Linked DNA regions of Mus musculus. The main gene of each other region encodes a partner of the protein of the gene in region 6 in a complex. Links are inferred from orthologs where the notes say so. Each region holds a gene or a part of one and is shown on either strand. Other genes may lie near its edges. The genes, in order: Lsm3, Sart1, Lsm7, Lsm2, Lsm4, Prpf4 and Txnl4a.

What was found.
Region 1: Prpf4 (region 6) and Lsm3 share a complex: the UniProt entries of both Homo sapiens proteins name them as parts of the precatalytic spliceosome. The link is inferred for Mus musculus from reciprocal best matches to the Homo sapiens genes PRPF4 and LSM3.
Region 2: Prpf4 (region 6) and Sart1 share a complex: the UniProt entries of both Homo sapiens proteins name them as parts of the U4/U6-U5 tri-snRNP complex. The link is inferred for Mus musculus from reciprocal best matches to the Homo sapiens genes PRPF4 and SART1.
Region 3: Prpf4 (region 6) and Lsm7 share a complex: the UniProt entries of both Homo sapiens proteins name them as parts of the precatalytic spliceosome. The link is inferred for Mus musculus from reciprocal best matches to the Homo sapiens genes PRPF4 and LSM7.
Region 4: Prpf4 (region 6) and Lsm2 share a complex: the UniProt entries of both Homo sapiens proteins name them as parts of the precatalytic spliceosome. The link is inferred for Mus musculus from reciprocal best matches to the Homo sapiens genes PRPF4 and LSM2.
Region 5: Prpf4 (region 6) and Lsm4 share a complex: the UniProt entries of both Homo sapiens proteins name them as parts of the precatalytic spliceosome. The link is inferred for Mus musculus from reciprocal best matches to the Homo sapiens genes PRPF4 and LSM4.
Region 7: Prpf4 (region 6) and Txnl4a share a complex: the UniProt entries of both Homo sapiens proteins name them as parts of the precatalytic spliceosome. The link is inferred for Mus musculus from reciprocal best matches to the Homo sapiens genes PRPF4 and TXNL4A.

What each region holds. Positions count from the first base shown.
Region 1 is NC_000072.6:91,514,815-91,518,834, reverse strand, and holds the start of Lsm3 (U6 snRNA-associated Sm-like protein LSm3), read right to left. Parts: upstream 2,801-4,020; 5' UTR 2,778-2,800; coding exon 2,757-2,777; intron 1,788-2,756; coding exon 1,677-1,787; intron 1-1,676. Other genes in the region: Xpc (DNA repair protein complementing XP-C cells homolog), read left to right, coding at 3,036-3,129. UniProt on the Homo sapiens protein: Plays a role in pre-mRNA splicing as component of the U4/U6-U5 tri-snRNP complex that is involved in spliceosome assembly, and as component of the precatalytic spliceosome (spliceosome B complex).
Region 2 is NC_000085.6:5,378,704-5,382,203, reverse strand, and holds part of Sart1 (U4/U6.U5 tri-snRNP-associated protein 1), read left to right. Parts: coding exon 1-18; intron 19-132; coding exon 133-243; intron 244-450; coding exon 451-538; intron 539-903; coding exon 904-994; intron 995-1,087; coding exon 1,088-1,223; intron 1,224-1,676; coding exon 1,677-1,766; intron 1,767-1,862; coding exon 1,863-1,984; intron 1,985-2,068; coding exon 2,069-2,087; 3' UTR 2,088-3,500. UniProt on the Homo sapiens protein: Plays a role in mRNA splicing as a component of the U4/U6-U5 tri-snRNP, one of the building blocks of the spliceosome. May also bind to DNA.
Region 3 is NC_000076.6:80,852,410-80,856,368, reverse strand, and holds Lsm7 (U6 snRNA-associated Sm-like protein LSm7), read left to right. Parts: upstream 1-1,159; 5' UTR 1,160-1,182; coding exon 1,183-1,188; intron 1,189-1,212; exon of another isoform or gene 1,213-1,308; coding exon of another isoform or gene 1,309-1,344; intron 1,345-1,657; coding exon of another isoform or gene 1,658-1,660; coding exon 1,661-1,751; intron 1,752-2,539; coding exon 2,540-2,611; intron 2,612-3,268; coding exon 3,269-3,411; 3' UTR 3,412-3,544; downstream 3,545-3,959. Other genes in the region: Sppl2b (signal peptide peptidase-like 2B), read right to left, coding at 981-1,028. UniProt on the Homo sapiens protein: Plays a role in pre-mRNA splicing as component of the U4/U6-U5 tri-snRNP complex that is involved in spliceosome assembly, and as component of the precatalytic spliceosome (spliceosome B complex).
Region 4 is NC_000083.6:34,980,599-34,984,653, forward strand, and holds the start of Lsm2 (U6 snRNA-associated Sm-like protein LSm2), read left to right. Parts: upstream 1-1,255; 5' UTR 1,256-1,484; coding exon 1,485-1,487; intron 1,488-1,531; exon of another isoform or gene 1,532-1,658; coding exon of another isoform or gene 1,659-1,769; intron 1,770-2,021; coding exon 2,022-2,089; intron 2,090-4,055. UniProt on the Homo sapiens protein: Plays a role in pre-mRNA splicing as component of the U4/U6-U5 tri-snRNP complex that is involved in spliceosome assembly, and as component of the precatalytic spliceosome (spliceosome B complex).
Region 5 is NC_000074.6:70,676,231-70,679,252, reverse strand, and holds the end of Lsm4 (U6 snRNA-associated Sm-like protein LSm4), read right to left. Parts: intron 2,699-3,022; coding exon 2,657-2,698; intron 1,476-2,656; coding exon 1,377-1,475; intron 1,300-1,376; coding exon 1,119-1,299; intron 894-1,118; coding exon 802-893; 3' UTR 501-801; downstream 1-500. UniProt on the Homo sapiens protein: Plays a role in pre-mRNA splicing as component of the U4/U6-U5 tri-snRNP complex that is involved in spliceosome assembly, and as component of the precatalytic spliceosome (spliceosome B complex).
Region 6 is NC_000070.6:62,411,783-62,415,282, forward strand, and holds part of Prpf4 (U4/U6 small nuclear ribonucleoprotein Prp4), read left to right. Parts: coding exon 1-100; intron 101-567; exon of another isoform or gene 568-1,062; intron 1,063-2,760; coding exon 2,761-2,848; intron 2,849-3,392; coding exon 3,393-3,472; intron 3,473-3,500. UniProt on the Homo sapiens protein: Plays a role in pre-mRNA splicing as component of the U4/U6-U5 tri-snRNP complex that is involved in spliceosome assembly, and as component of the precatalytic spliceosome (spliceosome B complex).
Region 7 is NC_000084.6:80,220,326-80,223,825, forward strand, and holds part of Txnl4a (thioredoxin-like protein 4A), read left to right. Parts: intron 1-1,853; coding exon 1,854-2,025; 3' UTR 2,026-3,500. UniProt on the Homo sapiens protein: Plays a role in pre-mRNA splicing as component of the U5 snRNP and U4/U6-U5 tri-snRNP complexes that are involved in spliceosome assembly, and as component of the precatalytic spliceosome (spliceosome B complex).

The DNA.
Region 1 (4,020 bases), on a different chromosome or scaffold from region 6:
CTGTGGGCTCAATCAGGAAGGATTTCAACCGCAGTGTTCAGTGCAATCTCCAAAGTTCATTCCTTTTACTAAACAGCAAACCTCCTGGGGCTTGTTCAGAACCCACTGCATGTTCTTCTAACAAAGTGCTAAGCGCTTTTGCCTGCTCATATCAAGATTAAAAATAGCCTAACAGCCACACTGGGAAGGAACTGCTTGGCAGCTACACAAATGAGCAACTCATCTGGAGAGCAGGGAGGAAACAGAAAGCTGGGCCGTTACTGCAGAGGTAAGAGCTGCAGACAACTCCAAGTTAGAGGCCACAGTCTGGCCTGGGGATCATTCCGTGCACCAGAGTGCCATGCAATTTAGCATCATCCCACATTTCTCACCAAACTGACACTGCTGTTCCCACAAGGCCAGCTTGTAGATCAATTCTTTATCCTTGGGTTTCATGAAAGAACATGAATTTCTAAGACTGAGACTGAAGTGGGATGGCCTGGTCCCCTACAGTGGCTCTGTCACTGTCAGTAGAGGGTTGTTTCTAATTTCTAAGCCTGAACTAAAAGACTTATTTCAATTCCTGTTGTAAACAAACAGCCCTGAGGGAAGTAACAAGAGGAGACAAAACCTTAAGTACACAATGATGGGACCAATTCCTCAGACATATAAATGTGCACAAGCAATATCTGTGAAAGTACCCATTGCAGCTTTATAGCTGGGGGGGGGGGGGGAGACTGAAGTCTGACACAGAATCCTGTATCCTGTGGCGTTGTGTCAGCTGTGTAATTATTCCACACAAAAAACATGTGAAAAAAGTGTGTACATATGAGACAAGGTTTCACTATGTAGGCCAGACTGGCCTCAAATATATGATCGTCCTGCCTTGGTCCTCTAAGTACTGGAACCATGGCACATGCCTCCGTTCCTCACTAGGCTCCCCTTCAGACACAGGTGGCATATACACATGCAGACGACTATGCAGCCAACTTTGAACAGTGGTCAGACATAGAGAAAAATGGAACTTCGCCTTTAATTTTACCCATTTCTATGAAGTTGTTTTTGTTTTTGTTTTTTTTTTTTTGGGTAGTGCTAGGGTAGGGGCTTTGCCGCATGCTAGGCAAACTATCTCTAGCCTGCTATTTAATTCTTTTCATGACAAAACAGAGCTTTATATGTCAAAAGCTAAAATACCCTATCCAATAACTTTAAAAAATCCAGGACAATGCCAAGAATGAAGAGCATGTCTGTAATCCCAGCTCTCAGGAGAGAGGCAGAGGGAGCTGGAGTTTGAAGCTAGCCAGGTTTTCTAGTATGACCTTGTCTAAACCCAAGAGAACAAACAAGTTTATTCATAAATAAGCAGAAGACAAAACTGAAGGAAACGAAAGTGTTCTCTATGGTTGGAGAGATGCTCAAGCTAAGAGCACTGGATTCCTGAACAGGACCTGAGCGTATCAGGCAGCTCACAACAGTCTGTAACTCTAGCTCCAGGGGATCAGATGCCTTGTTCTGTCTCACCGGAGTCCCACCCCTCTCTAAAAAACCATTCTGGTTAAGGAAAACATATTTTAAAAGTGAATAGAAGGATTTTCCAATTCCCAAAAGAAATTCAAAAAAGTAAGTTTACACTGCAGTTCTAATTTGTAAGGAGGTAGGATGCAGCCTCTGGCTCTGAGATGTTTTAACAGACTTACGTGTAGTCTGCCTCGAAGCTCTCGGTCATTTCTCATTTTCACATAAATTCGCTCATCCAGGCTGAGCCTGATCAGATCCAGGGGCTCCTCTACGGTATTGGTGGTCTGTTGCTGAGGAAAGGCAAAGGCTTACTCATAGGATACAGAGGCCGGGTGGTGTTTCAATCACTGGTCAGCTGAGAGAGCAGCATGTGGGTGCTAGTACACAACCAGGGTTGTCTCCAAGATCAGCAAGCGCTCTTATCTGCCAAGCCACCTCTCCAGCCCCAATAAATCCCCATTAAGGAACTTACACTCTAGTTGTGGAAGAAACACTTTAAATAAATACATATTTAAAACAACATGCTCTGGAGAGAAACACAGTAGGGTAGCACGTACGTACGTACATACGTGTGTGTGTGTGTGTGTGTGTGTGTGTGTGCAGGGGCTATACATATTTAAAACAACATGCTCTGGAGAGAAACACAGTAGGGTAGCACGTACGTACGTGTGTGTGTGTGTGTGTGTGTGTGTGTGTGTGTGTGTGTGCAGGGGCTGTGTGTGCATGTGAGGGTGTGAAAGACATTTTGGTGGCCAAGGTACACCAGCTACCTAAGAAATAGGGAAGGGTAGGTGCAGAGGCCCGTAGGCCCTTCTGTTGGCCTGTGTACCAGATCTTTGCTTGTTTTCTTCATACTCCATCTCTAGCAGTTTCTCCATCTCCTAGAACTGCACCTTTCCTCTGACCTCCCCTCGTAATTCACTCCAAGGGAACCACTGCCTGTGCCCCCCGTGTTCACTCGGATTGCTAAACTGGTGTCCTGCTACGACCTCCCGCTTTCTGTCGGAATCCCGACAGCTAGCTCCCAGAGATGGGCATCTCCAGCCGCCTGCATTCATTCTACAGAGAAAGGGCGACGACGAGCGCGATGGGTAGACGGGCGGGTTGAGAAACTCTGGGCCTACGGAGGTTTCAGGAGCAGGCCCGGCTACGGAAGGCCGTGGTGACTCGGAAAAAAAGAAAAGGGCCATCCCACGGGAAGCGTGGAAAAAGCGAGAAGCGAAAGCATTTCCTCTTCGAACGCCTCAGGTCAAACTTACCTGATCTACGTCGTCCGCCATGTTTCAAACGCTGCGCCCTTTCCACCTCTCGCGGGAACAGGAACTCAGAAACCTTAGGCCGCCACGCACTGAAGGCGAACTATATTATTTTTGTCCCTTCGCGCCCTCGTAGTTTGCATGGGGGCGGGGCTTCCTTCGAGGGCGTGGTCCTACCCTGGGCTGGGGGCGCGGCCAGGCGTGGCCCGCCTCCGGGCGGGGCGGGCACGCGGAGACCTGCGGCGTCCTGCGCGGTAGTCCCGAGGAACGCCTCTGGCTAGCATGGCCCCAAAGCGCACCGCAGACGGAAGGCGGCGGAAGCGGGGCCAGAAAACCGAGGACAACAAAGTAGCCCGGCACGAGGAGAGCGTTGCGGGTGAGAGGCCGAGTCTGCAACATGCCAGGCAGTGGTGGCTGAGGCTGGTGCGGGCGGCGGAGCGGATCTGCGCCTGTGGCAAGGTCTCCACGGCCGGGTGCGCGGCGTCCCCGAGGGCCTCTGCTATCAGCCTTAAACCCCTCTGTTAACCATTAGAGCCAAGTTCAGCCTCTAAGCAAGTGTTGAAGGCTGAGCAGCAGAAAGCTTCGCAGTTACCAGGTGTCTCAAGGAGACCCCAAAACCAAGACGGAGGGAGACTCTAGTGCGTGCGAGATCTCTCTCCAAATTCCCGACTGCCATCCAGTGTAACTCCAGAGTTTAGGATGTGCTTTGTTGTTGTTGCTTTGTTTTTCCGGACAAGGTTTCTCTGTGTAGCCCTGGCTGTTCTGGATCTTACTTTGTAGACCGGGTTGGCCTCAAACTCAAGAGATCCACCTGTCTCTGCCTCCCTAGAGCTAGGATTAACCCGTGTCTGCCACTGCGCCCTGGCTAGAATGCGCTTCTTACCTAGATCTTGAACAAAGCAAAACTTCCATCTTCCCTCTTAAACAAATCCATCCTCCAGTTGTTCCATTTCAATAAATCACACCTTTTCTTAACTGCCAGTTCGGCAGCAAGTCCAGTCAGCTTCGGAACCAATGAAATCTGTACCTAATTCTCTTTAATTTTATAGCTGGAGATCCTGTCCACAATTGAGTAAGTGAACTTCACGTTGCTTCTTTTCTGGCTTCCTCTCATCTGTCTGCCTCAGGTCATCATCTAGCAGCCAAACGGATGTAGAACAACAAAACCTCATGCCTCTGTCTTCTTATCTAAAACCCCCTCAGACTTGCGCTCTGCAAGTATAGCATCTTCCTCACTTAGCTGGTTTCCTACAGGATTTAGAGGCTG
Region 2 (3,500 bases), on a different chromosome or scaffold from region 6:
GAGCAGGAAGAGCTCATGGTACGTCAGCAGTTCCCTGGCTGTTGTCCTTAGGCTGCTGACTTCTGCTTCTAGTGCTTGAATGTAGCAGGTAGGGTTGAGGCTGCCCACCCTGACACTGACTTGTGGTCCTAGGACTTTGAAAGGGATGAGGAGCGCTCGGCCAACGGTGGCTCTGAATCAGATGGGGAAGAGAACATTGGCTGGAGCACCGTCAACCTGGATGAGGAGAAGCAGCATCAGGATGTGAGCACCGGTGGGCGTGGGTGTGGGGACCCAGGCTAGTTGTCCAGTGCCTGAAAGCCTCCACCCATCCATAGAAGGGGCACTAACCCTTCCAGAGCCAGCTGGGGGTCAGTTAAAACTGGTCCCACAGCCTAGTGCCTGGTGAGGATGACCGCTGGATAGAAGAGATGGGGCAGCCTGCTCACACTTCTCTTTTCTCACCTCTAGTTCTCTGCTTCCTCTACCACCATCCTGGATGAGGAGCCCATCGTGAACAGAGGGCTGGCTGCTGCCCTGCTCCTGTGTCAGAACAAAGGTGTGGGCTCAGGGTGGGAGCCTTGGCAGTGTGGGTACTATAGCCGGGACGGGCTGGATGGTTGCCTGTGAGTACTGTATGGTGTCCTGGGTTTCCACTCCTCTTCCCCTCAGTCTCGGGGCTTCAAGCAGCTCCCTAGACGCGGAGCCTCTCACTGCCTCTCCTGCTGCGGGGTGAGAGGTCTGCTTCTCTTCCGTGCCTCAGAAGTGGGCTAAACCGGATACACTGGGGCCAGATCCCAGCTGTGCTGCCTCCTTAGGGAAGTGCTGATCTTTGATGTCCGTAAAGATGCGGCATGTTTAACTCCTGAGCAGGGCTCTGAGGGACCTGTATGAAGCTGGGTGTCAAAACTTCTCTGTCCCTAGGACTGCTGGAGACCACAGTACAAAAGGTGGCCCGGGTGAAGGCTCCCAATAAGTCACTGCCCTCAGCAGTGTACTGCATCGAGGATAAGATGTAAGTGTGGCCGTGGCGACATGAAATAGGAGCAGCTGTGAACATGGGGTAGGCAGCAGGCAGCTCACCCTGAGCCCCTCTGCCTTGGTCTAGGGCCATTGATGACAAGTACAGCCGACGGGAGGAGTACAGGGGCTTCACCCAGGACTTCAAGGAGAAAGATGGCTACAAGCCTGATGTTAAGATTGAATACGTGGATGAGACGGGCAGGAAACTGACTCCCAAGGAGGTGAGCAGGGTCTTGTGGAGATGGTCAGACCACAGGTGACGAGGTGAATTCTGCCTCCGTTGCTGACTTTGGGCGTAGTACTGAAGTTCCCACAGGCTGGCTGTCAGGAAGGTTACACCTGTGCTGACTGCCACAGCTGAAGCCCTGTGCCCTGAGTATGCCTACCAGCATCCCCTGCTGCTTCCCATCTCTGTATGCTGGTTCCATGTTTGCTGGCATTAACTCCAGCTCCCAGAGGCAGGCTCACCCTGGACCCTGGATTCTTTTTTGGTTTTTCGAGACAGGGTTTCTCTGTATAGCCCTGGCTGTCCTGGAACTCACTCTGTAGACCAGGCTGGCCTCGAACTCAGAAATCCACCCGCCTCTGCCTCCCGAGTGCTGGGATTAAAGGCGTGCGCCCACATCCCGGCTGCCTGGCCTTTCTGATGCCTCTGCTCCTGCTCTGTATCCCAGGCATTCCGGCAGCTGTCCCACCGCTTCCACGGAAAGGGCTCAGGCAAGATGAAGACTGAGCGGCGGATGAAGAAGCTGGATGAGGAGGCGGTGGGTCTTGGGAGGGAGGTGGGGGCTCTGCATTTTTGGGTGATGTGTGATATGCTGGGCCTGCTCCCCCTGTTCTGACCTCCTGTGGCCCCACAGCTCCTGAAGAAAATGAGCTCCAGTGACACGCCCCTGGGCACCGTGGCACTGCTCCAGGAGAAGCAGAAGGCCCAGAAGACACCGTATATCGTGCTCAGTGGCAGTGGCAAGAGCATGAATGCGTGAGTAGGAGCCGGAGGGGTGGGGAGGCACTGCATCCCCTTTCCAGTCTCACAGCCTCATCGCCCACCCTCTTCTCCCTGCAGGAACACCATCACCAAATGAAGCCGCCCTCCTCCCTGGCCCAGATGTAGTGTTAAATAAAGTTCCCTCCTTATTTTTCCTCTTGGTTGTGCTGCTGTCTAAGGTTAGACCTAGGCAAGGCCTCTGTCACGGTCAGTTCTGCCATCTGGCAAGTCGCTGAGCCTCCTCGCCCTTCTGTGTTGCCTTCCGAGTGGTCAGAACACCTGCTTCATGCGTGAGGCGCCGGTGAGCTCTTTCGTTCACTCTCTGGTTATCCAGGAGCGGATGGGCCTGATCCTTGAACCTGTGTGATTTAAAGTCTGATCTCTGCCTGTAAGACTGGCCATTTAATGAACAGAGGAGGTGAGAAACCAGCCTGGTCCCTCAGAGGACATTCCTCTGTGAGCTGACTCCATTGTAACAGAAGCCCTCCACCCAGTGGCGTGTACCTGTCACACTGCGGTCAAATTGGCTTCTTGATCCCAAATCATTGCTGTTTTCAGACTGGTCACATGCGTGTTGCTAGGCCTTAGAGAGCCACTAACCACCCTGTGTTGTCCTGGTTACAGTTTTCAGGGTACTAAGTAAGGATTGCCTAGGCTCTCTGGAAGGGTAGAGATGTTACCTCCTGTCCCCTGTGTTACTGTGGCATTTGTGGAGGCATGAGGGTCATCCCAGGACTGGGGTAGGGGTTACCTCGAGTGCACTTATATACGAGGACTGAGCCACCCTGCTAGGTGCCTGCAACTGTGCCTGGAAAGATGGGCTTTCTAGGAAGGCGCTGTGGAAGAAGCCCTGCTGAGCCACAGGCTGTGGGAGGACCCTGCCCCACAGGTGGCTACTTTGAATCAGAAGATGAGTGCCCTGTGTCAGTTACTGAAGCTAGCCCCATGTGGGTCTCTGGTGAGTGTATCAAATAACTAGAAAAAAGCAAGAGACAGGAAACCCAGTTGTTTATAAGTGATACTAGGTAGCAGTTCCTGAGACACTGACCATAAAAGAGGTGAGGTCAGTTGGTGTTCTCGGCTGTGCCTGTGGATCTTGGCTAGTGATGGTTGTGCAGGAGTGTCCATTTCTCTAAGTCTCAGGTGCTTGATTATGGTGTCTACTGGCTATGGCCATTGGTCAGAGGTCACTTTTTTTGTTTCCTTTTTTGAGACAGGGTTTCTCTGTGTAGCCCTGGCTGTCATGGAACTCTGTAGAACAGTCTGGCCTTGAACTCAAGGATCCACCTGCTTCTGCCTCTTGGGTGCTGGTATTAGAGGTGTGTGCCACCACCACCTAACTAAAAGCTCACACTTATTTTCAGGAAATTGGGTTGGTGCTGTTGCTGCCACACCTTAGGGAGAGCAGGGCCTAGGGGCTACCAAGTAGCAGGAGACTTGATGCCAAGGGCAGACAGGAACCCAGGTTCGCTGTCAGCGGGTGGAGAAGGTTAGCGACTTAGGTTTGTAT
Region 3 (3,959 bases), on a different chromosome or scaffold from region 6:
GCCAATCAAGGAGGCACATGCCAGCCAGTTGTGGCAGCACCGGGGAGGCTGAGGCAGAGCTGCAAGCCCACCGCCAGCCTGGGCCATACAGGGAGACCCTGTCACAAAAGTCTGTAATCTCAAAAAGGAAAAGAAAAAGTATTTTTAAAAATGACCTGGGCTCTTGTTTCACAAGACAAGAGCGTACACAGTAGCAGGACGCACTGGCCACCCTTCAAACCGGCCCAAGACCCAAGGATGCAACACTCCAGGATCTGGGACTGAAGGCTGGAGCCACAAAGACAAAACAAGAAAGGACTCTACTAAGCCAGGAGTTGCGATGCGGCGCGTGAGATAACTAGGCCGGTGTTTTGCTTTGAGTTCCAGGTTAGCCAAGCCTCACCGGGTGCACAGGGACAGCCAGGGCAACATGGGAAGTCAGAGCCCAGCCTGGACTGCAGAGCGAGCTGGAGGCCAGCCTGAGCTGCGGAGCAAGTTGGAGGGCAGCCTGGACTGCAGAGTGAGTGTGAAGCCAACATGGGTTACATAGTGAGTTCAAGGCTAGCCTGGACTACGCCGAGTTCGAGACCAGCATGCCACCTCTCTCAGAAAGCAAAGCACACCAGAAGCCAGCCTCCTGCCAGGGCGCACCCCGCGCACACCTGAGGCGTCCCAGCAGAAGCTCGTCCCCAGCGTTCTGCACCGACCCTGAGGTGGGGACCCCCTTCCGCCCAAGGTCACAGAACAGAAGCCGGGGTGCCGGGCTGCATGCACCTCGGGGGCCGCGCTGGACGCCCCGGGGATGGAGCGCGGGAACTCGCCCCATTCTGCAAAAGGGGAAACTGAGGCTGGCAGGAACAGCGGCGGCGGCGGTTGGGGCCCCGGGGCGCAGGGCGGGCTAAGCCCCGCCAGAAGTCTGCGGTGGCAATGAGCGAGTGGACCGCAAGGTCAAGGGCACGGTCAGGAGTTGGGGGGCCGGGCCGATCGGCCGTGGCGCTCACCTGGGCCGCGAGTAGCAGCAAAGCTGCGGCCAGCCGCGCCGCGGCCATGTCCGCCGGTCCCCCCGCAGCTCTAGGCGGAAGGTTTCCTGGCAACGCCTTCGGGACGCCGCAACGTGCTTGCGCCGAGGCTGCGCGTGCGCAAAGGCCTCCGCGTTAGAAAAGGGCGGGGCGGCGCCTGCGCAGAGCGACGTGAGGCGACAAGATGGCGGTGAGCATGTCTAGATCGTGGAAAGCAGGGCCGCGGGATCGAGGGTCTGTGGAAGCGAGAGCAGAAAGACTGAAAGGAGAGTGACGGACGCCCTAGAGTAGGGAGACAGGGTGCTGAAGGATGGGAGCCACGTGGGACTGCAGACGGAAGCCATGGGTACAGACCAGGTGACATGAAAAACAGACGACCGACATGAGGATGCAGACGCGGAACGTGGGGGTTGCAGACCAGGCAGACAGGGGTGCGTACAGGAAACAGTGCAGATGGGGTATCCAGGGATGCAGATGAGGACGTGGGCATGCAGACAGAAATGCAGACTCGGGCATAGCATTCAATTAGGCAGACACTGGAGGTGAGGATGCACCCAGGGTTCTGGGAGCCTGAGTTGGAAAGGAGTCCCTGGGTGCCATGCCCAGGCTACAGGGATATGGGGAGGCTGGACCTCTCTCCTCAGCGCCCCACCTCCCAGCAGGACAAAGAGAAAAAGAAGAAAGAAAGCATCTTGGACCTCTCCAAGTACATCGATAAGACCATTCGGGTGAAGTTCCAGGGTGGCCGGGAAGGTGAGTGCCTACCGCAGGGCTCCCTGACACAGAGCTTGGCTGAGGTCACAGCAAGCAAGGGAAGCCACCTAGTACAGGCGTTCCAATAATGGCTTGGGCTATTGTGTACCATTGAAAGGTATGCCCCTATTGTGGGTGGGGAAACAGAGCCCCAGGAAAGGAGTCAAGTGAGATTAGCACCCAGACCAGTATGGATGGATCCTGAAGGAAGGGGCCAGGACCCACGAGGAGGTGGAAGGAGGTGATAGGAAGCCCTGTTCTTAAGCACCTGGACACAGCAGGAACCTGGAAGGTTTCCCAATGAAAGGATTGAAAGTTCCAGGCCAGTTTAAGTTATGTAGCAAGATCTGTCTCCAAGAATCAACCATGGGTGGGGCTGTATGTCTGTGGGTAGATTGCTGGTTTAGCATGCATAAAGCCCTGAGTTCTATTCCCAACCCCGTGTAAACCTGGCGTGGTTGTATAAGCCTGGCATTCCAACACTAGGGGTAAGACAGGAGGATCAGGCTGCCTAGTGAGTCTGAGACCAGCTTGGGCACATGAGACCCTGGGGGGGGGGGGGGAGACTGTTTCAGATTGCATGGATGGGTGACAATAAAGTTTTATGGACACTATATAGCACCTTCCATACTGGAAAGAAGAGGGTTGGAGTCACAGTGACTAGGCCACCACACTTACTTACTCATGAGTTCTGTGGTGGCAACTGTTCCTGAGCTGCCATACCAGGTTCTATATGTGTTACGGGGTGGACTGACATTCTTCTCCATGTCTCGCCCGTGTTCCTCAAGCCAGCGGTATCCTGAAGGGCTTTGACCCACTGCTCAACCTGGTGCTGGATGGGACCATGGAGTACATGAGAGGTGAGCCGGCCGAGGTTGTTGTAGGACGGTGCTGGGGACCTGTGGGGTCAGATTACAGCAGGTGGTGACTTAGGGTGCAGTGTTGGAACACCAGAGGACTGGTGTGCTTGCCGGGAGGGCCTCAGGCTTGAGACTTCCAGCTCACTCTCCTCAGGTAGCTGGCTTTATCCTCAGCCCTCAGGACAGCAGGAATGGTGGCCGCTGTCCTCGGCCAGGAATGTCTACCTGCATCAGAGACTCCAAGGCTCACTGGATCTCAGCTCTGTATAAGCAGGTCCACCCTGTAGTGCCCTGAGCAGACCCCTGCCCCCCACACCAGGTTTCCTGTCTCCAGCCCTCGTGACAGTTATGTCTGACTGCTTACCAGCTCCTCCTGTTGCCCACCCTCTCCAGTGCATCTGCTGCTCAGTAGATGCCCTTGGTGTTTACGGGGTCAGCATGGGCTCTAGCGTTCTTGAAGTTGGAGATGTCTGGCTCCTCCCTCAGCCACCTTCGTGGTTCTGTGGTTTAGACTCTGCTGGTCAGGTGTTTTGAGAGCATCTGGATCTGTCAGTCCCCAGAAGCTGTGAGTGAGAACTCTCAGGCCCCTGAGGTCCCGGCTGTGGCATGCCTATGGATAGATATGCACCTCAGTCCTCTTGCCTCTCATCCTACCAGACCCTGATGACCAGTACAAGCTGACGGAGGACACTCGGCAGCTGGGGCTTGTCGTATGTCGTGGCACCTCGGTGGTGCTCATCTGCCCACAGGACGGCATGGAGGCCATCCCCAACCCCTTCGTGCAGCAGCAGGACACTTAGCAGCAAAGGAGAGCGGTCCAGCCCCAGGGATCTTCCTTCTATGGGGTGAACTTCTGTGTGATGTTTTGGTCTTTTGTTCTTGTTTTGTTTTGTTTTGTTTTTTAATAAAATTGCCCATGTGAGCATCTCCCTCCCTTCCTGCTCTGTAACTTTGATCTTTGGAGAAGCCAGAGCCATGGAGACACCTTGATCAGACACCGTGGTCCAGGGCAGAGCACAGCACAGCCAGGGACTAGCACAGGGATGGGAGAAACCTGGACGCCTGGTCCCGCAGCCCAGCCGGCTTCACCTGGTGGGCTGTGGCAAGAAGACCACACCTAGAAACACCAGAACCTGGTCTTCCTCCATATGGCATCCCCTTAGCACTGGCCCCTGCCTGTTCTCTCTGCCCAGGGGAACCAGGAGGGCCTGAGAAAAGGATTGGCTAGCAGGGAGCCTGGGCCCTGAGGTTCCTCAGGCTGGGGTGCCTCCCTAAAGCGTCTGCCACAAGAGAAGCAGCCCAGGCAGGGGCTGGGGCGGGGCCAGGGCGGGACTCTGTGCTCCTGTGG
Region 4 (4,055 bases), on a different chromosome or scaffold from region 6:
TTTATCCAGACATGATATCCACAGAAGATACAACCTAGCAACTTCCCACTTAATGTAATTATTTAAAAAAAAAAAAACAATAGGGCTGGAGAGATGGCTCAGCAGTTAAGAGCACTGACTGCTCTTCCAGAGGTCCTAAGTTCAATTTCCAGCAAGCACAGAGTGGCTCACAATCATCTGTAGTGGGATCTGATGCCCTCTTCTGGATGTCTGAAGAAAGCCACAGCATACTTACATAAAACAAGTCAATCGAAATAACAACAAAGCCCTTTCATCTCAGACCATCTCTTTCTTCTCTGGAACTTGCCTACTGAGGCTTTTCTAGTTTTTTGTTTTTTTTTTAAATCAGTCAGCTCTTGTGAACTCCTTCACAACCAGCATGTTACAAGCCTGGTAATGCTGTTCCCAGAACATCCAAAGTAGTATCTGTCGGTGATCTAGTTGAAAATATTTCAGTAATGCAGGGATGGATCAGCAGTTACAAGCATCTGTTGCTCTTCCAGAACACCCAGATTTGATTGCCAGCACCCACAAGGAGGCTCACCATTGTAACTCCAGGCCCAGGGCATTTGAAGCCCTCTCTTCTACCAGGAACTCATGTAGTACAGACATAACATACAGGCAAAAACTGTCAAACACACACAAAAAAAGCTAAGATAAAGTAAAATATTTCTGTCACTGAGTTCCAGTCAGTTTAGTCCTTTACAGACGAGTCCTATGCCAAATTATATATATATATATAACATTAGAGCTGGGATGTTGTTCATTTGCTTTGCTTAGAATGTGTCCGCTCTGGGTCAACTTTGCACCCCAAAAGACTGAAATTGAGAGAAACTTACTTACTGGGAACCTTTGATAAGAATCAGGATTTGTGTTCCGGTTTCTCTCTCACACTCACACACACCATAACCAGTGTGTATTGGTGTATATTTTATTCTCTGACACAGGGTCTTGCTATAATAGCTTTAGTTGACCTCTAAACCAGAATCCTCCCGTCTCAACTCCAGGATTCCAGTTGGGCACGAACGCTGTCCAGCTCTTAGCAACATTTTAAATTTTACTAAAGAATACGCAAGTCATAATTTTCTCAATCTTCCCAATAATTCCCCATAGAAAACGTAGACTACGAGCTAATCACGCGGCAGAGAGAAAAGTCTCAACAACCATCAGAAAAAGAGACGAACTACGTCCAACGCGCAGCTGCCACGGCCCACGCATGCGCTTGTGAGAAAGCGGCTGCTCGGGAGGAAGTGGGGGGGACAGGAAGTTCCGCCCCTCTACCGGTTTGGCGGTCCTCTCGGCTCTGCCCTACCCCGCTCCCTTTGAGCCTGAATTCAGCCGAGGTTTTCGCGGCTCCCCGTGCGCCTGCGTGATCCAGTCTTGCTTCACGCGCGGGCTCGCGCTCCGGCTCCCGCCCTGCCTCCGGCTCGCAGTCCCCGGCGCCTTCCTTCGCGGTCCAGGCCGCCCCGCGTGGCGCCAGCACCATGGTGGGTACCGTGACGTCAAAAGGGAGCGCCGCCGCTCGCGGCGGGCGGTTCGAACCGTGCGGGCGTGGGTGCGGGCACTCGTGTCGGTCGCTTGGGGCGGCAGCCAGGCCCCAGGGTTTTCCGTACAGCCTTACTGCCCACACCCCAGTGTGAGGAGGCTGCTCGGAGCCGATGGTGTTTTGGGGGAAACCTTTAGCAAGTCCAAGAGAAAGCCCACGGGCGCCGGGGGAGAACGGGAAGCGAGCCTTGCACTTCTGTGCTGTTGACGAGGACTTTGTGAGGGTGCGGTTGGGAAGCGGTCTCAGCTGGGAGGTGGTCGACTCAGAGAGTGGGTTCTAGCGTCGAGGGGTGCAACGCAGGTCCTGTCACTCCGTGGCTCCGTGAACTGCAGAGTCCCGTTTAACGGATTGTTGTTGGTTATGAAGTTTTGAGAACTACTAGGAGGGGCTACAAAGACTAGTATTTCAAAATACTGTCACGGGCTCCTCCTCCCCGTCCCTTTTCATGTGATAGTTCCTCCCTCTTTTCCAATAGCTCTTCTACTCCTTTTTCAAGTCTCTTGTGGGCAAGGATGTAGTCGTGGAACTCAAGAATGACCTGAGGTAGGTCCTTATTTTAGCGAGTTGGTGGAAGGTGGGGGTGCCGGGTGTCCTGATCCTTTTTGTCGTTGTTGTTGACAAAGTTACTTCAGAGTAGGTAGGCAAAACACAGAAGAAATACCTTTCGTCTTAAGTGTAAAAGATTAGTTTAAGAGTGAGCCTGGTATTGTGACACATGCTTGTAATCCCAACACTGAACGCAGAGGTGTGAGTTCAAGGACAGCTTGGTCTACATATGTCCAGGGCCATCCGGAGTTACACAGTGAGATACAGTTAAGTAACATGTATGTGTAGTCCTGGCTGTCCTGGAACACACAGATCCACATGCCTCTGTCTCCTGAGTGCTAGGATTTGCCTGGCTGTATCATTTGCTCTTAACGATTCAGGAGTTGGGGTAAATGCTTAAATGCTGTACCACTGGAAATATGTTTATGGGTTCTTGTCACATCCGTTAAGGTCTACTTGGTTCCTAATAGTGCTTCGAAAATTATAGTTTCATTGAAGCCGGGTTTTGTTTGCTTTTGTTTTCTTTCATGTACTGGGCATGCTCAACAAGTGAACTTCATATGCAGCCCTCATGTTTCTCTTTAAAATAACTTTTTTTTTTTTTTCCAGACAGGGTTTTTCTGTATAGCCCTGGCTGTCTTGGAACTCACTCTGTAGACCAGGCTGGCCTCGAACTCAGAAATCCGCCTGCCTCTGTCTCCCGAGTGCTGGGATTAAAGGCGTGTGCCACCACCGCCCAGCAAAATAACTTTATTTGTAGACTCTTGAAACCTTTGAACACACATCAGTGGTTGACCAGCAGGATGGTTCTGACCAGTGTGGCCAAGTTAGAAGCTGGCCCAGACTGAGGTGCAGACTAAGACCTTTCATAGTCTAAAAGTCAAATCACACGAATGGTCTACAGAGCTGTGGGGATTCATAGGATGTAGAGAGTGAGGAAGTAAAACTCAGGATCTGAGGTGGTTAAAGTTGGTTACACAGAGGGTAAATATAATATAAGGTGGGGCATGTAAGGTGGTATGGGAGCACTGGCCTTGATAACCTTGCTTAGGGGCTAGAGGGCTGGAGAACTGAGAAGACTTGACTTGTATCTTCATTATTAAAGATAAGTTGGGGGGGATAACATTTGAAATGTAAATAAAGAAAATATCCAATTTTTTAAAAAAGAAGAAGAAGCCGGGTGTGGTGGCGCAGGCCATTAATCCCAGCACTCGGGCTACACAGAGAAACCCTGTCTCGAAAAAAAACAAAAACAAAAAAAAACCAAACAAACAAACAAAAAACTCATACGAGAAAAAAAAGAGTGTAGCAAAAATAATAAAGAGTAATTCCAGCTACCAGTATGTGTACATAGGTCTGTGACTCCAAAGCAGTAAATGTTTACAAATAACAGTTAGGGAAGCTGCAGAGATTGCTCAGTGCTTTAAAAAGAGCTTGCTGGGGGCTGGAGAAATGGCTCAGAGATTTTAAGAGCACTGACTGCTCTTCCGAAGGTCCTGAGTTCAAATCCCAGCAACCACATGGTAGCTCACAACCATCTGTAAAGAGAGCGGACATCAGACGCCCTCTTCTGTAGTGTCTGAAGACAGCTACAGTGTACTTAGATATAATAATAAATAAATCTTTAAAACAAAACAAAACTTGTTGCTCTCCCTGAAAAATAAGAGTTCAGTTTCCAGCAACTACATTAGGTGATTCACACCTACCTAGAACTCTGGCTGCAAGTGATCTGATGCCCTCTTCTGGTCTCTGTGGGTAACTACATGCACATACACACAAATAATAAAAATCAATATTTTAAAAATAATAGTTGATGCTTCTGGGAGTCATGCAGATCTGGGCTGACCTTCAGTTTATTGGTTGTAAGTTTTGTTACCTTCCATGACCTCTCTCATATCCTGGAGGATGATAATACTTTGAAAGATGATTAGCTAAGTGGTGTTGATAGCAGTGCATCCCTTAA
Region 5 (3,022 bases), on a different chromosome or scaffold from region 6:
GAAACAGACACAGGGGACCTGGAGAGTACTCAAGGATGAGCTCCATTCCAAGCACTCCAATGGCTGTCATCTCATTTCCAATATGCACCAGGTATGCATGTGGTAAATACACACGTGGACAAATACACAGACACATGGGCACAGACAGACACACGTACATGTCCCGTGCTGTGCTCTCCCTGGGTCACTTTCCCTGTGGTGCACTCTGGAGTTGTATGGGATCAGAACTGTTCTGCCTGCAGAAGCAGCCTGACAGCCTCCTACCCTAGTCTCCCACAGTCCAATCATTACAGGCCTGGCTTTTTAAGTGCTTTGTAGCTCCAGTTGGCCTAAAACTCCTGACTCTACCTCTTAGCCTTCTAAATGCAGGATCTGCTCTACTCTCACCTCCACTGGCAGGACACACAGACAAGCCCCATGCCCAGGGAACTGCTCCCTCTGATAAGACCCAGGTGCCCTGAGGACAACATGCTCAGGGCTTAGGCAGAAGAACAGCTGGCTCTTTCTATGGTGTTTGCTTTTATTTTTCAAACAGAAGATGTACAGGGTATGGCTGGTAAAGGACAGGTGAGCCGCCATGGGCTGAGCCTGCAGCTCCAACTGAAACTCAAACATGCCTGGAAGAAGTCAGCCCTTCAAAGGGCATCTAAGGCTCCACAGGCACCTCAGACTCGGAACCTTCCAGAAACTGAGTCAGTGGCCAGCGAGGGACTTCACTGGACCAGACGCCAAGTGGGGCTTCACACAAAGGTGCCCTGAGGCCTCACCCACCGTTCTGGGCTCGGCTCAGGCAGGGAGTGATCACTGTTTGCCTGCCTGCCGCCCTGGCTTCTTCTCGGGCTGGCCTCGGCCTGCACCTGGGATGCCACCCCGGCCCCGGCCACCAAACACACCTGCACAGAACAGAAAAGGCAGAGTTAGACACCAGCGTCCCTAGACAGGGACAAGGGTCTTCCCCTCTGTGCCCTGGTCCACTGCGCAAGGGTCCTGTGGGAGATTCCAGGTTGTACTCAGCCTACAGGAGCCCACACCACCATGCCCTACATGTGATTGAAGAGGGTGCAGAGAGGCGAGTGCCCAGGTGTCCCTCCCCCACCTCATCCTCACAGGGACCCCACCTCGGCCAGCGCCGCCCATGCCTCGGCCTTTCTGCTGCTTCTGCTGCTGCGGTCCTCCTCGCCCTCGGCCCTTGGCGGCCTCCTCCCGCACCATGTCAATGATCTCATCAGGGATGCGCAGGTACTTGATGGTGCTGCCACGGATGTAGCACTCAGGCATCCTCCAGAACTTGTCACCATCCTGTGGAGAGGGGAAGTGTGACAGGTGGGCATAGTCCATCCAGGCCAGCAGTGCACCCTCCCCGCATGACCACTCACCCGCGACGTGCAGATCACCTCCCGGAGGTTGATGTTCATCCAGTTGTCACAGCTCACCAGATGCCCGTTGTAGGTCTCCCCATTCTTCAGCTCCACCAGCTGTGGGAGAGCCCATCAGCCTAGCTCAAACACAGCTGGCTTCCCATCCCAAACTACAGCTTTCTGGGTGTGCTTTGGGATCAACCTCTAAGGGCTGGCTGCCGCTCAGCTCATAAGTGGGTGCTGTGATAAGCAGGCACCGCCCAGGTTCCCCACCCAATGTATGGACAAAGACAAATTAAAACTCCACACTAGCTGGGCATGGTGGCACACACCTGTGATTCCAGAACTCTGGCGGCTGAGGCAGGAGGATAGTGAGGAAACAATGGGCAAGCCCAGTCTAGTCACCTACAGAAGGAGTGTTAACACAGCCAAGAAAATGACTCAAAACCACTGAGTGACAGACAAGCCACACTCAGAAATGCTCACAAAATGCAAAGGAGCAGACGTCAGGTGGGAGCAGTGCACAGGCAACCAGGGCTGGGGTAGACCCGAGGTGGGTGCTGAGGGGAAATGAGAAGAGGCTGGGCTCTGGCTGTGTGGAGTCTATAAACACACTACACACCACAGAGGCATGGCTCCTTCTGTGGCACCTCGGATGGAACCCAGGCCTGCAGCTTGCTGGGCCATGCCTTGGCTATTCGGCCACACTGCTGCTCCTTTTCAAAAAAAAAAAAAAAAAGCTTCAACCAGTGGCAATCCTCCTGCTGCATCCTCCCAGGCAGCTGCGATGACAGGGGACCTGGTCTATGCTGTGACTCTCAGGGCAGAATCAGGGGCATGAGTTGCACAGTGCCCAGCTTCTTCTTGACATTACTTTTAAAAGATTTTTTTTTTTTTTGGTTTTTTTTTTTTTGAGACAGGGTTTCTCTGTGTAGCCCTGGCTGTCCTGGCACTCACTTTGTAGACCAGGCTGGCCTCGAACTCAGAAATTCGCCTGCCTCTGCCTCCCAAGTGCGGGGATTAAAGGCGTGCACCACCATGCCCGGCTATAGATTTCTTTGTGAACGTTTTCCTTTGTATTGCATTTGCCATTCTGTCTGTGTGCAGACAGGGCAGAGAACAACTTCAGGGAAGTCATGAACCCCTCCATCATCACATGGGTCCTGGGGATTGAACTCAGGTCCTTCGGCTTGGCAGCAAGCACCTTTACCCACTGAGACATCTTGCCAGGCCTTCAATCATGAACTGCAAAAGACTGAGCTGTGGGCACATGAAGGGAGGTGGCCCAGAGTGCTTACCATGGGGTGATTCTGCGCTGTCTTCAGCAGCGACAAGGGAAGCTGGAAGGCAAAAGTCAGTGTGAGGTGTAGTCCTCAATTCAGGGACGACCACATGGGCATGGCTACCCCCAATGCACTCGCCTGTCTTCAGGTCACAGGTAACCTCACATCATCCCATTCTACAGATGTGAGCCACCTGGACCTCCCGGACCATTTTGGTCATTTCTCCACAATTTCTGTCACCTGGAACCACAGAAGCGGGGCACAGTCCTCTGTCTGGAGGTAGCTTTTCTGAGGCAGAATCTTGTCATAAGCCCAGGCTGGCCACAGCCTTCTAAATGCACAGGACTGCACACCAGCCTGCTTCACATCCCGTCCATGTGC
Region 6 (3,500 bases):
TCAATGTTTCCACAGATGACTCAGAGGTCAAGGCTTGCCTTCGAGCCTTGGGAGAGCCTATCACGCTTTTTGGAGAGGGCCCTGCTGAACGAAGAGAAAGGTGTCCTTTATAAACGTTACATTTGTTATTTGTCGCTGGAGGTACAAGGTTACTGTGGTTACTGTGGTTATTGTGGTTATTGAGGGTTGTGAAGTTGGTGCTGACTCCCATCAGGCCCTTGCCTACTCTGCTGGGAAGTTGCTTGCTGGATATGCTAGGTGATTGTTTTGTTTTCATTATATAAATCCATAATATGTCTGTGTGGAAGCGTGTACAGGTGAGTTAGGATACCCTGGGAGTCCAAAAGAGGGTATTACCTATGGACCTGGAGTTGCAGGCAATATTGAACTACCGGATATGGTTGCTGGGAACTGAACTTGGGTCCTCTGAAAGAGCAAAAAGTAATCTTTTTTTGGTTTGGTTTGATTTGGTTTTTCGAGACAGGGTTTCTCTGTGTAGCTCTGGCTGTCCTGGAACTCACTTTGTAGACCAGGCTGGCCTCGAACTCAGAAATCTGCCTGCCTCTGCCTCCCGAGTGCAGCGAGTAAAGGCGTGCACCACCACGCCTGGCGCAAAAAGTAATCTTTAACCTCTGAACCTGGTACACAAATATTTCATTTTTTGTTTCTCTCTTAGCTTTTAGAGTCATGTGATTTTGTTTGAGCATAAATGCCCCTTGTTCACAGAAGCCTTGCTCCATTACTTCTGCCAGTGCCTTTTTAAGTGTTTCTTATTTGTATGTGTGTGTGTGTGTGTGTGTAGACATATATGTGCTTTCATACGGATGTGGGGGTCATAGAACAACTTGTGAGAGTTGGTTCTCTTTCACCATGTGTCCCAGGGATCTATCTCAAGTCAGCAGGCCCCTTGCCTCCCAGCCGCCCTGCCAGCCTGACTCAGTGTTCTGCCTACCAAGTCCATTGTGCTTTATTATTATGTCCCATAGGTGAATGCCTTGAATCCCAGCTGCCACTACCTTAGCTCGGGGCCACCATTGTGACTTGATTGCTTTAACAGTAAAGGCGAGTTTTCTATACTGTTCTTCCTCTTCTGCCTGCTGCCCTATCATTCTCATTGCAGACCCTTCCTTGGGTAGCGTAAAGGCTCCGGTGACCAGGCCCCACTTGACTTCCCAGCTTTGGCCATCACCAGCCCTTCCCCTTTGTTCCATATTCCAACTCTACTGAAGCGCTTGCAGGCCTAAGCTCACCCTGCGTCCCTGACTGTAGGCCTTTAGAGTTCTTTAACCCTCTGTCTCAACTTCTGTTTTTGACTCTGGGCTGAATGAGTGTTTGACAACACCCTATCTGTAAAGCCTTCCCTGATATCTATCCCACACCTGCTCCCAAGCCTTGGCTCTGTACTTTTTCCATATTCCCTTCACATTATGTTCACCGCTCTCTGGTATTGGTATAATGTACTGCTTTCTGTAGTGTCATCAGAATTATCCTTTAGTTTGATTTTGTTGTTGCTCTTTTAAAAAAAGGATTTATTTATTTATTATTATATCTAAGTACACTGTAGCTGTCTTCAGATGCACCAGAAGAGGGTGTCAGATCTTATTACTGATGGTTGTGAGCCACCATGTGGTCGCTGGGATTTGAACTCAGGATCTTTGGAAGAGCCGTCAGTGCTCTTACCCACTGAGCCATCTCTCTAGCCCTGTTGTTGCTCTTTTGAGACAGGGTCTCTCAATATAGCCTTGGCTGGCCTGGAGCCTACCAACGCACCTCACTTGTAATTCTTATTTTATTGAAATGGGGTCTTAGTGTGCAGCCCTTAGTGGCCTGGAACTCACTTGTACTCAAGGCTGGTCTTGAACTCAGAGAACTCCACCTGCCTCTGCCTCCAAGTTCTGGGATTAAAAGTGTGTGTCATCAAGCCTAGTTCCTTTGGACTATTCTTAATCATTAAATATCCTTAGCCCTTGAATCGGTGCCCTGTGCACCATGGCATTCAGTGGGTTCCAGCTATACGTGGCAGCAGTTGACTCTAAATGGAATAGAGTAATTGCTGATGGCTGGTATTAAGGAGGCTTCAGGTAAAGACTGTGGAAAGGCTTGACGTGCCCACTGGAGTCTTAGGGAGACCGGAGGAGTCTGAGAGGCGAAGAGCAAAGGTGCACAGCGTTTCTCCTATGTTTGGCTTTCCTGTTTCTCCCACCATAGTCACCTGAGGTCCAAAATTACTGACTGGGAAAATGCCAGAAGTAAACACTTTATAAATGTTCATTTACACACCATCAAGCTCTGTCCCTCCATCGGCTGTTTCCTTGCTACCTTCCTATTAGTGTGCACTAGAATAAGATAGAAAGAAAGAAAAACAGATCTCGTTCACCTAATTATAAAAATCTGTTTTGGTTTTTCGTTACTAACCTTTTACCTTGCTAATTTATGAGTTAAACAGTATAAGAATGTATGAGCCGGGCAGTAGTGGTGCACGCCTTTAATCCCAGCACTTGGGAGGCAGAGGCAGGCGGATTTCTGAGTTCGAGGCCAGCCTGGTCTACAGAGTGAGTTCCAGGGCAGCCAGGGCTACACAAAGAAACCCTGTCACGTGGGGGGGAGAATGTATGAGTAGGGAAACAAACACAGTGTGGCTAAGGTTCATTGTTCCCTGTGGTTGTAAGCTTTTAGGGATCTCGACATATCTCTTCCACAAGTGGTGATGGGGCCCTACTGGACCTCATCCATATTGATTTCTGACCTTTTTTGTTACAGGTTAAGAAATATTCTCTCAGTGGTCGGGACTGATGCCTTAAAAAAGACGAAAAAAGATGATGAAAAGTCTAAGAAGTCAAAGGAGGAGGTAAACTGGGAAAGTTCAAGGGCATTCTTTCCAGTGCTTTCTTTGCTAAAGTGAAGAGAGGTGTCTACAGGCTCTCTCTGCCATATGGGACTGATTGATGGCAATAATTGATCATTTTCATGGATTGGGGATGGTGCTGGAAGTGCTCCATTCAGGAAGGAGCTATGCACTCTTGGTGTGACTCAGCAAGAAACCAGAAACTATAAGAAGTCATAGAAAAAAGACAAGGAGTCTGGAGAGATTGCTCTACCCTTAAGAATGCACACTGCTCTTCAGGAAGGCTCAAGTTTGGGTCCCAACACCTGAGTCTAGGAATGCCCAATCCTGAGCAATCGAATGCTGTCCTCCATGGCATTCATTCATATGCATGTACCCCACAGTCACACAACACAGTTAAGTAAAAAGTAACTAACAGAAGGACGAGTGCCTGCTTTGTTCTGTTACTGCACCAGACACCTTCTTTGTGAGGAGAACAGAGGGGAACAACTGTTGGGAGAGCAGGCATTTTCCAGACCTAACGTTTCTTCTGTTATTTCCTTCTCAGTATCAGCAAACCTGGTACCATGAAGGGCCAAATAGCCTGAAGGTGGCCAGATTGTGGATTGCTAATTATTCACTCCCCAGGTAAGCAGAGGTCCAGAAGAAAGAATTC
Region 7 (3,500 bases), on a different chromosome or scaffold from region 6:
TGAGCCAATGTTCCCAGTCCAGAAGCCTCCTAGAGGTTGGGAGGGCCTCTCACCCTTGGGAGACACACCCACCTTATCTCCTCTGAGTGCTCTGGCCTGTGATCTTTCAAGGCATCTCATTATCTGGAGAAGCTGGGAATTTAATCTTCTCACTAACGGTCTTGTGCCCAGTCACCTCTGCTCCTTTTACTGGGAGTGAGAAAGCAGGCAGCACTTCCTTGTTTGGAAATCTCGTCTGCTAATAAACAGGCTCATCACTAACAAGTTCTGCTGCTCATACAGCTTAGGACACAGTGGCTCCCAGTGCGCAACGCAAGTTCCCTCTCCTCTTTGTGAGAAACAAGGCCTCACTTCACATGCGACAGAGGGGCCATCTTTACAGTGATGGGCGTGGAAGGAGTTTCAGGGAGCAATGTTGGTATGTGGATAGGGGACATAGCTGGTGTCTTTGAGGTCGTTAGGACACTATCTAATTAGGACCAGTGTGTGCACTGAGCACCTACAAGGTTTTACTCTTAGGACTGGGCCAGAGTAAGAGAAGCCAGGCTTTACAAAAACCTTTGCAGAGTACAACTGACTGAAGCCTGTCTGAATCGCACAGGGCTCCCAGGTATATAAAGGACTAGTTATGCCCAGTGTGCTCACAGAGAGTAAGCCATGGAGGTCAGCAGGGCTGCTGTGCATGTGTGTGGGTGGGAGGAGATGTGGGTGTCCACCCCGTTCCTGGGCTGAGGACATGGAATGCTACCCTGGGAGAGAGTGTTTGACACAGAAGTTATGTCAAACCGACCTTCTCACTGTGCTCAGAACCCGTGGAGCATGCTCATCCACGTGGACCATCGTGGAAGCCAGTGTGTGATCCGTAGGAGTGAAAAGTTAGACTGATAACAAGTAGATCTTTAGGAACCTGGAAAAATTCATGCAAGTGCAGCAGGGGTTAACATCTTTATTCAGAAAGTGCAAATGCAGGTTCCTAAGTGGGGAAAAGGCCTATCCTCTAAAGGACAAGTGACAAGGACAAGTGGCTTGTTTGCTTCTCAGTCACAGCATGCCAGGGTGGGCAGAGCCATCGTTCTCAACTCATGGTTCAAAGCCTTTGGTAAAGCTGTACCAGGTCTGTGTGAACAAAGCGTAAGAGGTTGCCCATTGCTCGTTCAGGAAGATGAGAGCACCTCAGGAAAACTGCATGTCTTTCCAAACGATCCAGCTGTCCTTGGTCTTCACAGTCCTAGACATAAATGCACAATTGCAGGGTGCAGCGGTGCATGCTCTCAGTCCAGCACTCAGGAGGCAGTGGCAGTGCGGTCTCTGAGTTTGAGGCCAGACCTAGCTATATAGTGAATTCCAGCTATATAGTGAATTCCAGGACAATCAGAGCTATGTAGAGAGAGAGACCTTCTCTGTCTCCTGTCTCTCTCTCTCTCTCTCTCTCTCACTCACACACACACACACACACACACACACACACACACGAATGCAAAGAAAATATAGAAGAATGCAAGAAGAGTGTGTGGCTGCTGTGTTTCATTTCTAGAAAATGATATTTAGTGTTTGTCTTTATTTTGTGTTTGTTTGTTTTGTTTTTTGAGACAGGGTTTCTCTGTGTAGCCCTGGCTGTCCTGGAACTCACTCTGTAGACCAGGCTGGCCTCAAACTCAGAAATCTGCCTGTCTCTGCCTCCCAAGTGCTGAGATTAAAGGTGTGTGCCACCACTGCCCGACTTTATTTTGTTTTGAACTGTGGTCTCTTTGGATGGCAGTGCCCTTAAATGACATTCTAGGTGCTTAGAACAGAGAGAGAACAGGCATGGTGGGGGCTCTCTGTGTGAGCATTGCTCCTCTTTTCTCTTTCAGAAACAAACATATCATGATTGATTTGGGCACTGGCAACAACAACAAGATCAACTGGGCCATGGAAGACAAGCAAGAAATGGTTGACATCATAGAGACCGTGTACCGTGGCGCCCGCAAAGGCCGGGGTCTGGTGGTGTCTCCCAAGGACTATTCTACCAAGTACAGATACTGAGCCCTGCCCTCAGGCTGTGCAAAGGACACTGAGAGCCTCTTCCACATAGAAATACTCTGCTCTCGTAGCCTCTGGAAAGGCCCTGCAGCCCGACATTGCTGTAGAGCTGGAGGATCCGTGAGATGAGGGCTACAGAGCCTTAGCTAGCTGGAGCAAATAAACATGGCGAGGGAGCAGTGGGGATCTGCTGTGCTTACTGCGTGCAAATGTCTTTACTCCCAGTGTTTGTCCCAGGAGGCTGTCTGGTTTTGCATCTTCGAGCGGTTGCCAGAGCTGTCAAGCAAACTACCCCAGACATTTTAGCTGGACAGTTCTCGAGGTGTGAGCCTGAGGCGGCTGGGTTCTGGATTCCATTTGAGGCTGTGGGCCATCTGCAGCAGCCCCTTGGTTCTGGAGGTTGTTGGCCATCCTTGGTAAACCTTGGATTGGGCACACGTTATCCCAGTCTTTGCCGTTTTCCTTACAAGTCATGTGTATCATGTGTATGTCAATCTCAAAACATACCCTACTTACAAACACCAGTTACCTTGCCTGGGGCCACCTCACCTCTGTACAGCCTCATCTTAACCGATTACGTATGATAGTCACTCCAAATGAGGTCATGGTCTGAGATTCTGGGCTTAAACCATCAACATATTAATTTGGGGTGACATAACCCATAAGAATACCCAGTCTTAATCTCTCTCAGCATATAAAACAGCACTGTGATCCAGGTAGGATTCACTCCTGCTGCTGGCTGAGGCCAGGCAGCCGAGCTCAAAACACAACTACGAAAAAGCAATTGCCTGGCGGCGCTTCCCTTCCTCCACTCTTCCTCACAGCATGTCTGTGTCCTGCTTCCTAAGGAAGCAGGGTCCTCATTCCACCCAGCACAAGTCCCCTTATCTACGTCAGCTTCCTCTTGTTTCTTCTCTTCCTGGCAATGTGGAGGGACCCGGGTCTACCCTCTCATCTCTAAACACAAACTCAGAAGAGAAAGATGAGCATACCAGGAGCCGACTCTGGACGAGCGCCTCAGTACCCCTGCCCCATGCATCTCCATCGTACGCAGTGGCGAACACTCACTGGACGCCTGGTGGGTGGACAGTACCTTCTGTTGTTCACACACTGACCCATTAGGAAAGCTCAGGAGTGAAGCAGATGTCTGACCTACAAATAAACGCACTCGTCAGATGAACCAAAACATGAGTCCTGGCTTGGGGTGCCGCTTGGTGATAGAGGTAGTATTCAGTTCCTAGCTTGCAAAAAGTCAGATTCACATGCAGAGCTGCAATGTAACGCCTAGCACTAATTTGCTCATTAAAAGAATAGTAGAAGCCGGACGTGGTGGCGCATGCCTTTAATCCCAGCACTCGGGAGGCAGAGGCAGGCGGATTTCTGAGTTCGAGGCCAGCCTGGTCTACAAAGTGAGTTCCAGGACAGCCAGGGCTACACAGAGATACCCTGTCTCGAAAAACCAAAAAAGAAAAAAAAAG